2 linked regions of the Astyanax mexicanus genome follow. The protein of the gene in region 1 interacts with the protein of each later gene in a pairwise test. Links are inferred from orthologs where the notes say so. Each region holds a gene or a part of one and is shown on either strand. Other genes may lie near its edges.

Region 1 (8,008 bases):
TGTTGCTTAACCTGTAGTATTAGCCATACCTGTCAAGTCTCCCGTTTTGGCCGGGAAACTACCGTATTTTACTCCTCTTTCCCGCCGTCCTCCCGTATTAGTATTTTCCCGTAAATTTCCCGTATTATACTAAATAAAAAAATATATAGGCCACAGGCGACAATGCACTGACCGCTGTGTGTCTCTTAACCAATCGTGGTGCCGGTTCAAGTAGAAAGTCCCGCCTTTCAGGAGAAACAGCCAATCAGCTAGCTGGTTTTGCGGAGCGCAGTTTAGTGTGCGGGAAGCCCCGCCCCTCCCCTCGCTGTGAGTTCAGGCAGCTAGTCGGAGCAGCTGTCGTTAAAACTAATCTGGATATACGGAGATTTTTCTAAAAGAAAGGTAACTAACCATGTAAACTGTGATGAGATTGTTTCTGATAGCTGGTTAAAAAGACTCTTCTCTGAATCAAAACACAAATTAAACCCACTGTGTGTTTAATAAAATACAGCTTGTGACTCAGTTAGCTTAACTTTAGAATTAGCTAGATAGATATTCAGGGTTTGAGAAAAATCTACATATATATATATATATATATATATAATGCCCTGCCCTGATGTGCCTGATCAGCCAATAACTATCATTTCCAAACTCTATTAGTTCAGGGCTAGTTTTAGGGTTTGTTAGAATTTGTTTAAATCTCAAGTATTGTGGTAATGTATTATAATGTAATGTAATGTATTATTTAGAAGGGGTAGAAGAGATGGTTGAGCTGGAGAGAGAGAAAATGTGGAGAGGGCTGAAATTAACTGAACTGATCAGGAGTGGACTGAACGATAGAAAGAAGTATTAATGAAAGATTATTAATTGTGTAGGCCCCTTAGGACTATTATTTACTTATGGAATATATCTGATCCATGTCCTATTTGTAAATTTGTGCACCCTTCAATTTCAATTTTAAGTCTATTAAATAAATAAAAATAAATAAAAATATATATATATATATATATTTTTTTTTCCCCCCTCGTTTGGGCTGTTGGGGCGGCGGAAAAAATCCCTTATTTTTAAGTCCAAAACTTGACAGGTATGGTATTAGCAGCTAGCTGTTAAACAAGCTACTAACTTGGAGCTAATCTCTCCTAATACAGACTTCAGCATGTATTTTATGAATATTTCATTCAATAAGAATGGGAAACACAAAAATGCGTTGTTTTCTGTTGAAGACACATGCAACATTTTAATTAGCTTACTTCATACATCAATTTTAGCCAGTATCATTAGCTCTGACTTTAAAAAGCAGTCTAAAACCACCGCCTGAACCTGATTTATAGAAAACGCATGGATTGATGTGATTCTTGGAGTGTTTATAAAAACAGTCGTGACCCAGATGGAAATACAAAAGCACGCAAAAAGTGAGTTTTGCATAATATCTACCCTTTAAAGGAAAGCAGAGGGCAGGAATATTATGTTAAATATGAACAATGCAGACTTAGACAAGGTTACGACTAAGTATAAATTGACAAAACTTCATGCAGCCTTTCTAGACTTTTCCAGAACGCTCAGACTATCAGTCCGCTGCCGTCTTCAGAGGAATACATACTAAGATATAGGATAATGGGCTTACTCGTTTATGTGTCTTTTCTGCCCTCTTGTGGACACATTTTACCAGTGCATGCAGCTCCACATTAACTTACAGTATTTACATCCTCATTTAAAGCAAGTTTGACTCTATCTATCTATCTATCTATCTATCTATCTATCTATCTATCTATCTATCTATCTATCTATCTATCTATCTATCTATCTATCTATCTATCTATTACACCAATTAACGTTACACCGACACTTTAATTAATAAAGTCCCTTAATTAGTTATGATTTTATATAACAACATTAATTAATGACGCTCCAGCTCATCCCAACTCACCTCAAATCACCATCTCAGTTGATAAGGTTTAGATCAGGTTTAGATTGTGGAGGATAAACATTATGTTTACTACGTAAGTACTAGTTTCCTTATGTGTCGCTTAATTGTTTTCATGTGATTAAAATTACAAAGTAAAAACACTGTATATTTTTTTATTCCAAAAGCATATACAAAAAGGAGAAAAAAAATAAAATAATAAAAAAGGATAATGAAATACTTAAAAAACTAAGGTATCACACAGCAAACTGCAAATCTGTACAATAATAATAAAATAAAAATAGGCGCTGGGTTGTTAAACACAAAATAGTCCTGTAATTTGTACACAGATTTAACACATTATTTTAAAGAAAAATTAATTATTTTTTAGTCAGAGCGCGCGGTGAACGGACAGGGGGCGTGGCTTCGGCTATCTTGTCCTCTATTGGTCCGTTTTCCGGAATCGAGCTCATGTGTCACTTTTGCAGTTATTTTGAAAACCCCAACAAAGCGCTCTCTGTTTGCGGGTCAGAGAAATAAAACCGACCTTAAACTAAACGATGGTCCTCCCGTAACTTTCTAAGGTAGGACTAGTCTCAGTATTCCCGCTTATGTTAATAAATTAACTTAAAATCCGTCTCATGCAGTAAAACGCTGGTGTGAGCTAAGCTAAGCTAAGATAACTAACTAACCTAGCTGACAGCAGCAGCTGTAGGTTTAGAGCTAACTGAGCTAACTGTTAGATTAGGTGAACTATAGCTCAGATAGCCTAATTAACGTTAGTGTTAATCTACTGTTTTCAGATAAACAACAGGTTTTCTAAACTCACGTAACGTTATATCTGCAGCTGAGCTACAGCTTGACTGAGCTAATAGCAGGGTTAAATTACTAAGTAACTTGTTTAATGTTTTATAAAAGTTTGCACATTGTTTTATCTATCTTACTTAATTCATCAACTTTACGATTAAATAGAAATACATTATGAATATAATATGAATAAATATAACTATAAGGTTCGGTGTAATAACTGTTCATAGTGGTGGTGACTACATTAACTAGTAGTGCAAAATCGAATATATAACCTAGGTTATTTAGTATTCTCTCTCCCATACGGTATTATCCTCCTTTCATCAAATTTGATTAATGATTCAATCATTACAAATGTACAGTTTATCAGGACTCAAACAAAACAAACATTAGGTCTTTATATACTGATATCGTTACAAAATAATCATAACAATACGATAAACAGTGTTAGATCACCTAGTTTTAAGAGTCAAATAAAAAAAATCACTTTTTATTTATAAAGCGATTGTATTACAACTGATGTCACAAAGCAGCTTAACAGAAATGTGATCACAGGACAGAGAATCAGACAACATTGGACATACAATACAGAACCCCCAGCGAGCAACGGAGGCAAGGAAAAACTCCCTCAGAGATAAAGGAGTACCTTATATCACATATACTATCACACATACTATCAAGGCTAATATATAGGGGAGGGGGACCCATTCTCCTCTGGTCAGAACTTAATCATTGGTTGTTAAATAGTCATTCTATGGTTGTTATATTCAGATAAATAGCCACACCAGCAGTGGAAGCGGTTAGAAAATTCTTAGTTAGAGTATCATACAAACTTGGATGTAATCGGTAGTGGAGAGTGAGCAACTTGTCCAATGCAGGTGGCAAAAACTGAACAATGGACAGCTGATGTGTGTTGGGTGATGGGGAAACCTGATCTACGGGGACTTCCATCAGGCCACACAGGTGACCTGAGAACCTAAGGGTCGACCTGAGGGTCAAACATCCATTAGTGTCAGTCTGGACAGGTTGGCAGTCAATAACTTGAAAGAAGGTAGGAAGTCAAAATGAATTTTGACTGGATTTATGGAGAGCAAACTATATGACAGGGAGAGAGCCAGAAGGTAACATAGACACAGAGGCACCCTGAAACACCGGCAACCACCCACTCCACCGTCCACAAACCTGAGTGACCACGTTCAGTGGGAGAACAACAGCACCAGCATCTCAGTTTACCACAATTCCCTCTGTCCATGAACCCCTGGATCTGCAGCCTTATCTAAGGGGAACATTAATTACCAAAAGCTAAACTAAACAAGTACGTTTTTGAACTAGACTTCCGAGAATGAGACTATCTGAGCCCTGAACATTTTCTGGAAGGTTATTCCAGAGTTGTTGAGGTTTATAAAAGGGTTTTTGGAAACTTCTAGGAAACCAGCTCCCTGTGATTTATGTTGTTGTGACTGTTCATAATAAGAGATGAGGGCTTGCAAATACTCAGGGCTTTAAACGTAAACAGGAGAATTTTATAGTCTATGCAGAATTTGACTGGAGGCCAGTACAGTGTTGATAGGTCTGGGCTAATTATGGTCAAATTATCTAGTTTTTGTAAGAGCAATGTTGGGCATAAAATGTATTTTTAAAATCTATTTTAGTGGATAAATGCATATATGCATTACATTATAAGGCAAATTAGTCATTAGTCATTTAATTAACATTTCATAGAACAATCAGAAGACAGGTGTAGGGTTAAGGTTTGTCAATCTTAAACTAACTTTGTCAAACATTAAAATTTAATTCTGTTAGAAATGTCTTTTTCTAGCTGTAACAGCACTTTTATTCTAATTAATTTCGTTAATTTTCCTTCTTTTAAATGTATTGTTTTAATCATGTTTTATTATTGTTCTCATTTTTATTTTATTTTTATTTCCATTTTTATTTTTTATGTCATTCTTTTGCATGTTTATGTGACTCTCTTTGAATTGTCTAATTTGTAAAGCACTTTGAATGACCGTTGAATGAAAGTGCTGTATAAATGAACTTTCTTTGCTGCTGTGTAGTTTCTTGATTTTTCTGAGAGTTTACTACTTCACTGATTCTAAGATGTATTTTTTCAGAAACTCTCCCACTCCAAAAAGGTGAGAGGATGTTATAAGGGTGGTCAAATCTTCTAACCTGTGCAACAGAAGAGATCCCCTCAGAGAGGAAGAGGACACTATGATGGAAAAGGTGAGCTGCATCTTTTCTACCCATTCACTGAGCAGCCATGTGTTGTAATCCGATCTGCACCAGCCTCCCTTTAAATGAAGGGCTGTACACCAGCCTGGTCCCCAGAGGAGCAGAGGAACTCGGCTTGGGCACCTAGCAGAAGAGAGCAGTCACCTGTATACTGTGTTCTGTATTTTCCATAAAAGCAGTCAAAAGCAGTAGTTTTTAGGTCAGTTGAGTGAAGGTGTAGAGAAGAGATGGACAGGACAGCTCTGACTGTTCGGCTTCATGCTAGAGATAAGACGTATGTCTTTCTGTGGAACTACAGTCAGTTTCAGGTAGCTACTGATGCTCTGCACAAATCTTTCCATTCTGAATCTCAGCAGTGTTGGTAAGAAACTGTGTAATGATTGAGGTGTTTGATTTTAATTTGCAGCAGGAGCAGACGGATTGGGACGCTGTTAATCGGATGCTGCAACATCATGGTTTCAAACCTGTTCGCTTTGCGGATCCAACAGAGAACAAGAACCTGGCAGGTATTCTAAGTCTAGTTTTTAAAGGAGTAGTTCACTTCAGAATCTGTCAAACAGCCATTATTGGTATAATGACATATTTGATATGTGTTGTGTGCTTCTTTAGTTAGTTATGAGAGATGCTAGGCTCACCCTGCTCTGCACATTTATTGCTTTTTCTTCTCTTAACACACCTGTTTCAACTAATCAGTTAATTGACAAGTTCTTACAGAGGTGCAGGGGTGTTTGTTAGCCTTTCATAAATATCTGACGCACATTTTTTCCTTCTCCTTGGTGTAAATTAATTCTGATCTGGCTGTTGAGGCTCACTTGCATTGCTAGAAATAGGAAATATTTCGAATTTTAGTACCACTTATGGCTGTGGACAAATAGCATATAAAAGTGACCCAAATTGATTTTTTCCCTTGTATGTGACATAAGCCCTATTTGGACAGGATTAGTTTCTCAGGTGGCTGTCTGTGAAAAATATTTCACACTTCTACTCTTCTCAGTGAGTTTTATGGTTTTCTCGGTCACATGACATTGCGTTCAGTAGCTCCTCCACTTCTACTCGTTGTTGTGTTTACGTGGATCTCCGTGGAAACATGCGCCCAAAGTGTAATTACGATGCATGGTAGTGGACGCGAGGAGATGAAACTCAGAGATGTCTGTCTGAACATGACTAAAATTATCGGAGGAACACGGAGTTCACCGAAGAAGTAGGTAATTTAACTTGTCATTTTCTCAGGACGTCTGAGAAAAACACGTATATGGTCGTTCTGAACAGAAATAAAATCACAGAGGACCCCCCTATAAAAGAGCAAATTACCCCAAGACCCCCTGAGAAATAAATCCCGCTTGGATAGAGCTAAAGATGTGTTCTTAGTTTGGCAGTATAAAAGGCAAAAAACTGACAGTTTCAGTTCCGATTTGGGTAATTTTCCATTGTGGTATTGAAATCTGATACCTGTCTAATTTGTAGCAAAGCAACTCAGTCTAAATAGACAGACAGGAATGTATGTGACTTTTACGTCATTTATGGAAAAAAATGGCAGTAAGGAGAAGGGGAAAATGGACAACAGCAGTGAGACAGGGGTTCAGTTGCTGAATAATGACCTCATAAAAGATAATAGCCCTATAGATGGGGTGAAGTCTTCTTTTAAACGTAATTCATAGATTGTGTCACAACCACTCAGTGTTTCTAATGAAACATCACAGGATTCCATAACTGCAATCTGAATGGAAGTCCAGGTTTCATCTACTGAAACTCCTTAATAGCTCCTGTAATGCGGCTAATGTGAAACTTAAACATCATATAAAGTGTTGCATCAAAAATCTGATCTACCTAAAGTGGCCCAAATCAAATATTAGACTCAGTGTGTTCTTTGGATTTCACACTGCCACATAGATCAAATATCTGTGTCACATTCAACAAAAAAGACCAGATTGAAAGATCTGCTGTGTAAACCAGGTTTAAGACACACTGATTTAGTTTTAGTTTGTTTTGGGCACAACATTACACTATGACTGTTTGTATCCGTGTTTGTATTGATAAGTTTTCTATTTAATCAGATCTAAGCTGTATTGTTTGTGCTCTTTAGACCTGGTTCTGCTGGAGAGAACATCATCAGCTGAAATGCGGAACATGCTGAAGACAATGTTGACAGATTCTGAGAGGAGGCAGGCCCTCATCCAGGAGCTCATTCAGTCCAACAGCCAGCTGAAGTAAGACATGTTCTACAGTATTATTTACCCAAACCATGTTTTTATTTTCTGAAATCAGGACTATTAGTAGTGATGCATTAATTTTTATTAATTTATTTTTTATATATAAATGAAACTGAACTAAAGTAAACAACTGGCTAAATGCTAAATACTAAACATGGCCTTACACTGGATTTAGTAAAATTACCGCTTTTTTCTACTGTTGCATTATATTTCTTATATCATGGCATTAAAACATTTATTTTATTATTTTATTCTAAAGATTAATTTATTCCAGCCGTACTGTTCTGGTCACACAAAACCTTGAGAGTGCTTTTCTTTTTTAATCTTTTTTTTATTTATCTTTTTTTTTTTAATTTATTTTATTTATATATTATATATATTTTCCACCATTTCTCTCCTATTTACACAGCCAATTACCCAACCCACTCATTAGGACCCCCCCAATCACTAGTAATGCCCCAACACACCAGGAGGATGAAGACTAGCTCATGCCTCCTCAGGGGAAACACTACAATTTGACTTAAAATAAATTATTAAATAAATTATTCTGTATAATTTAAATTATTCTGTCTTTTCATTTATTTAGTTTCTAAATATTTAGTGCCTCTTCAGCTATTAAGTGGGAATTGGTCCTCCTGTAATGCAGTAACCACCTCTTCTCTTCTGAAAGGGCTTTACGCCAGAATTTGGAACATTGCTGTGTAGAGTATTAGATTGCATTCAGCCACATGAGAGCAGCAGTATCAGTCAGGTCAGTTACTGATCAAGTCAAGTCAAGTCAAGAGGCTTTTATTGTCATTACATCTGAGTACAGGTACACAGTGTGATGAAATTACGTTCCTCCGGAACCATGGTGCAACATAGAACAACAAGC
Region 2 (7,975 bases), on another chromosome or scaffold:
GTACACCTCACAGTTAACATGTCCAACCTTTTGCATAGTGTCAATATTATTATCTATCACTGCCTTAACTAGAGCTGCACAGGTTGCTTCTGGAATCCCTTTCCACTGTTCCATAATCACATCAGGGAGCTGGTGGATGTTAAGACACCATACGCACCTCCACCTTCTACTTGAGAATGTCCCACAGATGCTCAACTGCGTTTAGGTCTGAACACATACTTTTAGGCCAGTACACCACTTTTAACTTCAGCTTCCTCAGCACAGCACTTTTCAACTTAGAGGTGTGTTTGGGTCATTATTGTGTTAGAAAACTGCCATGCAGCTCAATTTCTGAAGAGAGGGAATCATGCTCTGCTTCAGAATGTTGGCATACAGCTCCCCAGTGCCGGCAGCAATTATGCAGCCCCAGATCTTGATGCCACCACCACCATGCTTGATTGTAGGCAAGGGACAGTTTTTTGGTACTCCTCACCAGGATGCTGTCACACATGCTGGACACCATCTAAGCCAAATAAGTTTCTTGGTCCATCAGAGCGCAGTTCCAGTAATCCATGTTCTTGAACTTATCTTCAGCACTGTATGAGGGCTTTCTTGTGCATCAGGTTCAGAAGAGGCTCCCTTCTGGGATAATAGCTATATTTAGACACAAGTTTATGCAATGTGCGGCTTATGGTCTGAACACTGCAGGCTGACCTCCCGCTGGCAGCACTCGTGTCTATTTTTTAAAGCCAACATCTGGATATTACACTGAACACGTGGGCTCAACTTCTTAGTTTGACCCTGGAAAAGTCTGTTTCTGGAAACCTGCTGTATGACGTTGGCCATCCTGCTATATTTCAATTTAATATGTTAGCAATCTTCTTATTGCCTAGACAATCATGTGGAGAGCAATTCTTTTTCTCACATCCTTAGAGAATTATTTGTCATTTTAAATATCCACAGGTCAGTATAAGAGAACTGTAACCCCCCAGCCATACAAATCACATGACAAAAGGGATGGACATTTTTGTTTTTATGGTGATGTCCAATGAAAGTATATAATACAATATTAGCAGAGATGGGAGGGGTGTACTCACTTTTGTTGGATACTGTATAACTTACACTAACACACACACACACACACGTTTTGTTCTGTTTATTCATCTATGCTTAATAAAAAGCATAATAGGTAAACAATATCCATAAACATAATCATTATAATAATAATAAAAAAATACAAATAAGTATAACAGGCCTAATTATTAGAAGACTGATGTGTGTTGTAAGAGAGCACTAAGCCATTCTAACCCTGCATATCAGAGAACCCATTACAGTCAGATCTAGGAGAAATGAGTGGCTGTGAGGAGCACTGCGCAGACTCCGCACTACCCGCTGGGTAAGATTAACTCATGGAGTAACGGGATCGTTCCTTTTACTACAATAATAACATTAAAACACCCACCTTTCTGACTGATCCTCCGGAGACCCCCTCCTCCCTCAGCACTGATACCTCTTCCTCTGAGCCAGTGTCCGACATTCTCCTCTCTCCGGGGGGCACTCGCTCACCTGCCCACTACACTCACTGCGTCACGGGGGGCGCGCGGGGCGGCCGGGACCCTGCAGTCCTTAAAGAAACGCGAACTCGGGAGAAGCGGAGAGCGCGCGCCCGTACTGCGACACGAGGTCACGCGACACTCCAGACTGCGTGCATGTCAAACTTCAGCAAATCCGGGAGTTTCACGGTAATCCCCCCTCACACATGGAGCATTCACCAGCAGGACCCACTTAAACCCGGGCTTTGGATTAGTTTCCTACCAGTCCAACCCCTCTATCCAGTAAAAAACTCCGATCTGCAGACGATTCTTCACCATAATGCCAAACCAGAACCCCGGTAGAGAACAACTATCGAAAATAACAGCAAGACACTTGTTGCAGACCCGCTGCTGCAGCTGATCTGCGTCCCTGCTCCGGTTTAAGTCCCAGAACGAGCCCACTCCTCTGCTTTAGCCAATAGGAGCGCGATACAGGTGAGCGACAGCCCAGCTGTCCAATAGGAGCACGAGGTGGAAACTTGATTGGCAGTCCGAGCGCCAACCCCGGAGCAGGTGGGCGTGTTCAAAAGTGATTTGAAGCGGAAAGACGACCGTTGTCCGTGGCAACGCAGAGGCATCGTCAGTCGGGAGGAGTCGATAGTGCAGACAAAGACTTTATACTGAGGCCCAACGTTTCACCCACTGTTCACCACCGCACTGTCCCCCACTGACACACTTCCCACCGTCTCCCCTCACACTGACCCGGGCTAACTTAACCCCGCAGCGCTGTAAAAAACATGTAGACAAACTTTCACATGTTTTTTTTTTTTTTGCATGATCACAACCTGCAAAAGCTATCTTAATCCTGTGAAAACAAAACAGATAGATTATGAAGAAATCCTCCAATCCCCAACTATTTAATTAACCTTGGAAGTCTTCACTTCATTTAAATTTCTTTAGACCTGAATTATGTTCCAATGATGAAAAAATATAAGAATGTTTTCTGTCTGTAATGCACACAAAATTAGACACTACTATCCTAATACAAAATCTGTATTAAAATAAATCCAATTAGCCAAAACATTATAACTTAATATGATAAAAAGAAAAAAGAGTTTTCATTACTTTGCCTTATTTGTTCTGTAGTGTTGACATGCTCTAATGTCCGAGTTGCTGATTTTTATTTGTCCAGTGCAGTGGGCGGGGCTAAGCTACTGTTTCATTGACTGGTTTCTGTTGGACAACAGGTCTTAATCAGGGTTCTGTGTAACAAAACAATTAAAAAATATAATGACATGAAGTCCATTGTAATTGACGCAGGGTCTGAAAGGGTTAGTGCACTGAGGTAATGTACAGACGCAACATAATAAAAACTTCACTACTGTCCAAATACTGAAGGACCTGTCTGTATGACTGCGAAAATAGGCCATAATCAGATGATCAAATGTGGAACGCCCATACATCCTAATGAGATCCTATCCAATTTTTAGCTGGCATGTTGATATGGCCCGATTCAGTGCCACATACGACGTATCTAGGTACCTAATGAATATATATATATATATATATATATATATATATATATATATATATATATATATATATATATATATATATATATACTTTAGCAGTATCCTTAAACATGATAACATATTAGTGGGTAAAATAAAACATTACACAGCTTTGTAAATTTTAATCTTTCAGTTTTAATTACAAGCCAAAGTCATTTGCTATGTAATTGTCAGTACTATAAAGACTACAGAAATACACTCTAAAATTTTTGAAAATAACATCAACACTGAGAATGTATGTGTGATAGAATCTGTGCGCTTTCAACAGCTTTTTAAGAAACATGTAGAAATTATTCTCTAAATCCAAGGTCAAAGGAACCCAAGTGGCTCGGTTGCTTCAGTTGGAGAGCAGAAAATGACTGCCTTTGCTGTTTCCCTTTCGAATGTTAGACACAAGCAAATGAATTCTCTCTGATATAGCCACCTGTAAAAATCAGAAATACAGATTATATAAGCAATAACACAGTGATAAGAAGAATATCTTTGATATTATGTCAAGTAGTTTGATTAACTTTTATATATAGATAAAAAAACACTGACTGTGTAATTTTCTGGCTCCTGCAGTTTCTTGTGGTGAGGATACATGGCTTGGAGGGAGGTCTGGGCATGTACTCGACTCTCGGGTGCAGTGCTCAGGGGTAAAGTGATCTGAAAATTCAAAATATAAAATTTTACCATGTTGAGCGTTAACAGGAAAACGCATAAAGAAAGGATGGGGTTTGGCTGTTAACAGAATTGCAAGTATTGACTACCATTTTCTGACCTTGGATTATCAGGTCATTCACTTCAAAATTTTATTTTTTATAATAACTGCATTACAATGTAATTAATTAAACTAAATATATCTATAACACAACAAGCATTTGATGGCTAAGGTGCTTAGTGCGGGTCAGAACATGATCCTAAATGCTTTCTGAAAAAGTACACAGAGCGCTTATGGTTGTTTAAAGACATTTAGATGATCAGTGATTAAAAAAAGTTTGTTTACCTCACCATGGGAAAACACATCTAATCGAAGGCTGGTCACTTGGGAAGGTGTGACTGACTGGACAGCCTTGTTTAGACCTAATGGGTAATAATTCAACGGTACTCCCACTTTTGGAGCTGGCTCCTCTGACAAGCAGATGAGATCCATTTGAGGATGACCTGTGTGTGAATGCACAAAGAGAAGGAATGAATGACACAGGAAAGCATAAGAAAATATGCGCATGCCGATATTTTAGTAAAAAATAAGTCTAAAATATTTGATTTAGAATTTTGTAAAAATCAAATTAAAATATTCATCATAAAAACACACCAGCATACACTGGCATGCAACATATCCCAAGACCATAGAGGCTAAAGAACACTGCACTGACCTGTGTAATATGTGTCTGGGGTCTACTACACTGAATGTGGACTAACCAGATGCTGCCAGTCACGATCATTACTACCCACTGTGCTGTCCACTGTGGGTGTTAATGCCATCTATGGTGTATTCCAAGAACATGTGACACTGTGGATAAATGACTGTTTACTACCTGCAAAACCTAAAGTGTGGGACATCGGACTCATATAACACACACTACCAGGCTCTGTTAAAACTTCCATAATTCATGTCACCTTGCCATGGGCACACTGGCCAGTGTTCAGCCCCTTTTACAAGAGAACACCTCATAACTTTTACAGGTGTGGGCATCCCCAAACTGTCCCCTAAGGTAACAGTTTATGATCAATTTACATACTGCTATCCCATGATTTTTTTTAAATTTAATATTAAGGGGACACCAGGAGTGTTTTAGCATAGCTACCAAACATCCACGGAATTAACCTAAACAAGCCTAGTCTTAAGTAATCGTTAACAGTGGTAAGTGCTATTATTGCACTGAAACTCTGGCTCATAAAATGATCCTATTTAAAACAAAAAACAAGACTACAAAAAACTCTGTAAACGTAAGAGAAAAGGGATTGGGTTTGAGGAAAAGGAAAAGTGGCCAGACCCTCAGTATCCAGCAGTCTGTAGATTGCCTTTCTGCCTGGAAGTGTGCTCTTTTCTGGGTCCTCACTCAGCTTCATCCTGGGGCAGCCTCTGACCTCTACCAACTTACAAAAAGTGCAAAAATACATGAATATAAACACATGAGGCTTCATCTTAGGCCTGTCCTGATAATTACATCAATTGATCGTACAATAAATAGACGTAACTTCCACTGACCCCAGTACTGCCCGTTGTATTTTTTTAGCAAGTACATTAGCAGGACATTAATGTGCATGAGCAGGTGTGTTGACTGTTTTAAAACAGTGGTTTTCTGTTTAATTTATTTAAGTACAATATTTATACATATTTTTATTACAATTTCTGAATACCCTTAATAATTAAACATTGCTAATAAATGATCATTATAAAAGAACTCTTAAAATGACAATTCATCAGTTACTGCATACTGGTTATTATTTTTGGGAAACTGGTTAATTTTTTATAACAAGAATTAAAACCTATTTTCATTGTTGTTTTTGCGTGGGTTACCTTATATACACAGCCAAGGGAGGGCTGACTTGTGCAGGTCACAAGGTGAGTTCCAACTCCCACTACATCAATCTCATTGTCCTGACAGAGACAGAAACAAGGGTAGCATAAGGTTAGCATCATAAAATTACCAATCATGCTTGAACTAAACTGTAAATTAACAATACCTCTCTAGTAAGAAGCCTTTAAAAAAACTTACTCTTTTGTTGAGCTCAACAAGACTCTGTTCAGAGACGCTGTTAGTACCAACGATGAGGAGAGACTCAAACTTAGGGACGGAAAAACTACAGAAAGCAGAGAGAAACATCTGATTAGCATCTGTCTGTAATCAACAGAATTATATCAAGGAGTTGGAAGGATGGTTTGTTACTGACTGTTTGCTGCACTCTCTGAAAACACAACGCACTTCTACAGACTGCTTGCAGAGGTCGCCACTATCCAGCCTCACTCCTAGTGGCTGATACTGCAGCTCGCACAGAGCAAGGCCAACAGCACAAAAACACAGTACCCCGCTACTGCAATAAAACACGTTTAACAATAGAACATATTTAACATTCTTCTTATTCCATACCGTCAAACTATGTTAATCTCAGAAACCAGGTGTTACCAGCTGACATTGTAGCTGTCGATCACCGGCAGGAAGTTGTTGGGATAGGCAATAGCGTACGACAGTAAGGCCGCAAGCTCTCCTTCCCGCACCTGCTGAGGTCTAGCTCCCAGTAACTGGCACACACGTCCTAACCAGCCCTTCACTAAAGAGAGGAAGTCAATGGGGTCATCACCCTCAGAGGGCACCAGAGTCTGCAGTGAAATTAGAAAATCAACAACAATTTTTTATGTATCTTGCATGCAGTTACTTGAATAAACATGCACTATACACTCTATTATATATTATACACACACACATTTACCATATTTGTCCACAACTTCATGTGTGATCATGTGTAATCCTTTACACAGTCAACTGGAAATAGATTAAAACAGCATTCAAAATAGTTTATATATATACATAAACTATTTTGAATGCTGTTTTAATCTATTTCCAGTTGACTGTGTAAAGGATTACACATGATCACACATGAAGTTGTGGACAAATATGGTAAATATTAACAAGTCAATACATTTTCCTTCTTGAATAATTTAACAGTACTTGGTAAAAATACATAATATTTTCAGAATCAAAGCTTATCTCAACACTCTGAACCCAGATTCTGTCATTAATGTTCACAAATAAATGTTGTAATGTTGCAAACTGAAATAAAACTAATAGTCTCTAACCAGCACAAGTCAAAGACTTAAATACATTAAATTATTTGGATTAATTTAACACAATCAAAACGGAACTTAGTAACTCAGTAAAAACTGAAAATTTAGCAGATACTTGTATCCAGAGCAATGTTCAATGACAGGTGAATATAACATTTGAAGTTTTGCCAAAAGACTCGTATCTGGACAAATAATTTAAACAATTACCTAAAATTTACCTACATGCTGTCAGATGCTTTACTGGCCTGTCACTCACGAAAACTTTCTGCTGGGAAATATTCTCTTATATTCTTTAAGGCGTGAAATGCAGCGAATGCGTACAGCACAGCTGCAGTTTCTCTGAAGTCATTATGGTCACTGTGACATTAATCAATGTGAACAATGAGTCATTCCTGATTTGGTCACAAATGCACCTTCTTCAGTGTTAATACTGTGTCTATTTTACACTTCTGTACATCTAGTACAGGTTAGTAACAGAAAACGAGGTCATGACGCACCTGTGGCCATACCTCCTCCAGAGAGGAGAAGGATGTGACGTACGAGTGTGCCATGGTGCCTGCCACTGGAATCCCAAAGAGACGCCCAGCCAGAGCATTACTCGTCAAATCAAAACCTGAGGCCAGAAAGACAGCTAAAGGGTGCATGCGCTTTCACACTGCTCTAGATTCATGGCAAGCTGGGCTACGAATACAATCAGGAAAAGGTCAGGAAAAATATGCAAATTACACTTTATTATGTAATAATGTGCATTATTAATGATCAAAAGATCTTTAATAAGGTGTCATTAACTGGGCATGCAGTAAAACTGTTTTTTAAGATAACTAGCACAGCATTACACCAGCTCATTGCACACAAACATATTTAGAAAGCAAATGCAGCCAATTATGGCTTTAATATTTAATACCTAATCTTTTAAGTTAAACTGTGTAAATCATTACCTAAACACTCACTTACGGTTATCTCTCAACTAGATTACCTAATGAGACAAAAAGTATTGTAAAATTTTGTCCAAAAATTTTGCCCTATAAGGTGCACTGGATTATAAGGCGCACTATAAAAAACATTATAAGGCACACTCTCAGTAAATGTCTATTTTCTAGTATGTTTTCGCACTATAAGGT

The links.
Region 2: the proteins of cep70 (region 1) and rhpn1 interact in binary tests that used the Homo sapiens proteins (3 or more experiments, as listed by UniProt). The two-hybrid records come from large-scale screens. The link is inferred for Astyanax mexicanus from reciprocal best matches to the Homo sapiens genes CEP70 and RHPN1.

The regions. Positions count from the first base shown.
Region 1 is NC_064430.1:21,251,766-21,259,773, forward strand, and holds the start of cep70 (centrosomal protein of 70 kDa), read left to right. Parts: upstream 1-4,943; 5' UTR 4,944-5,151; coding exon 5,152-5,232; intron 5,233-5,330; coding exon 5,331-5,430; intron 5,431-7,007; coding exon 7,008-7,131; intron 7,132-8,008.
Region 2 is NC_064408.1:54,510,296-54,518,270, forward strand, and holds the start of rhpn1 (rhophilin-1), read right to left. Parts: upstream 3,047-7,975; 5' UTR 1,517-3,046; coding exon 1,442-1,516; intron 1-1,441. Other genes in the region: naprt (nicotinate phosphoribosyltransferase), read right to left, coding at 3,420-3,506, 3,623-3,730, 4,071-4,228, 5,062-5,164, 5,589-5,669, 5,788-5,872, 5,963-6,103, 6,196-6,389 and 1 more. UniProt on the Homo sapiens protein: Has no enzymatic activity. May serve as a target for Rho, and interact with some cytoskeletal component upon Rho binding or relay a Rho signal to other molecules.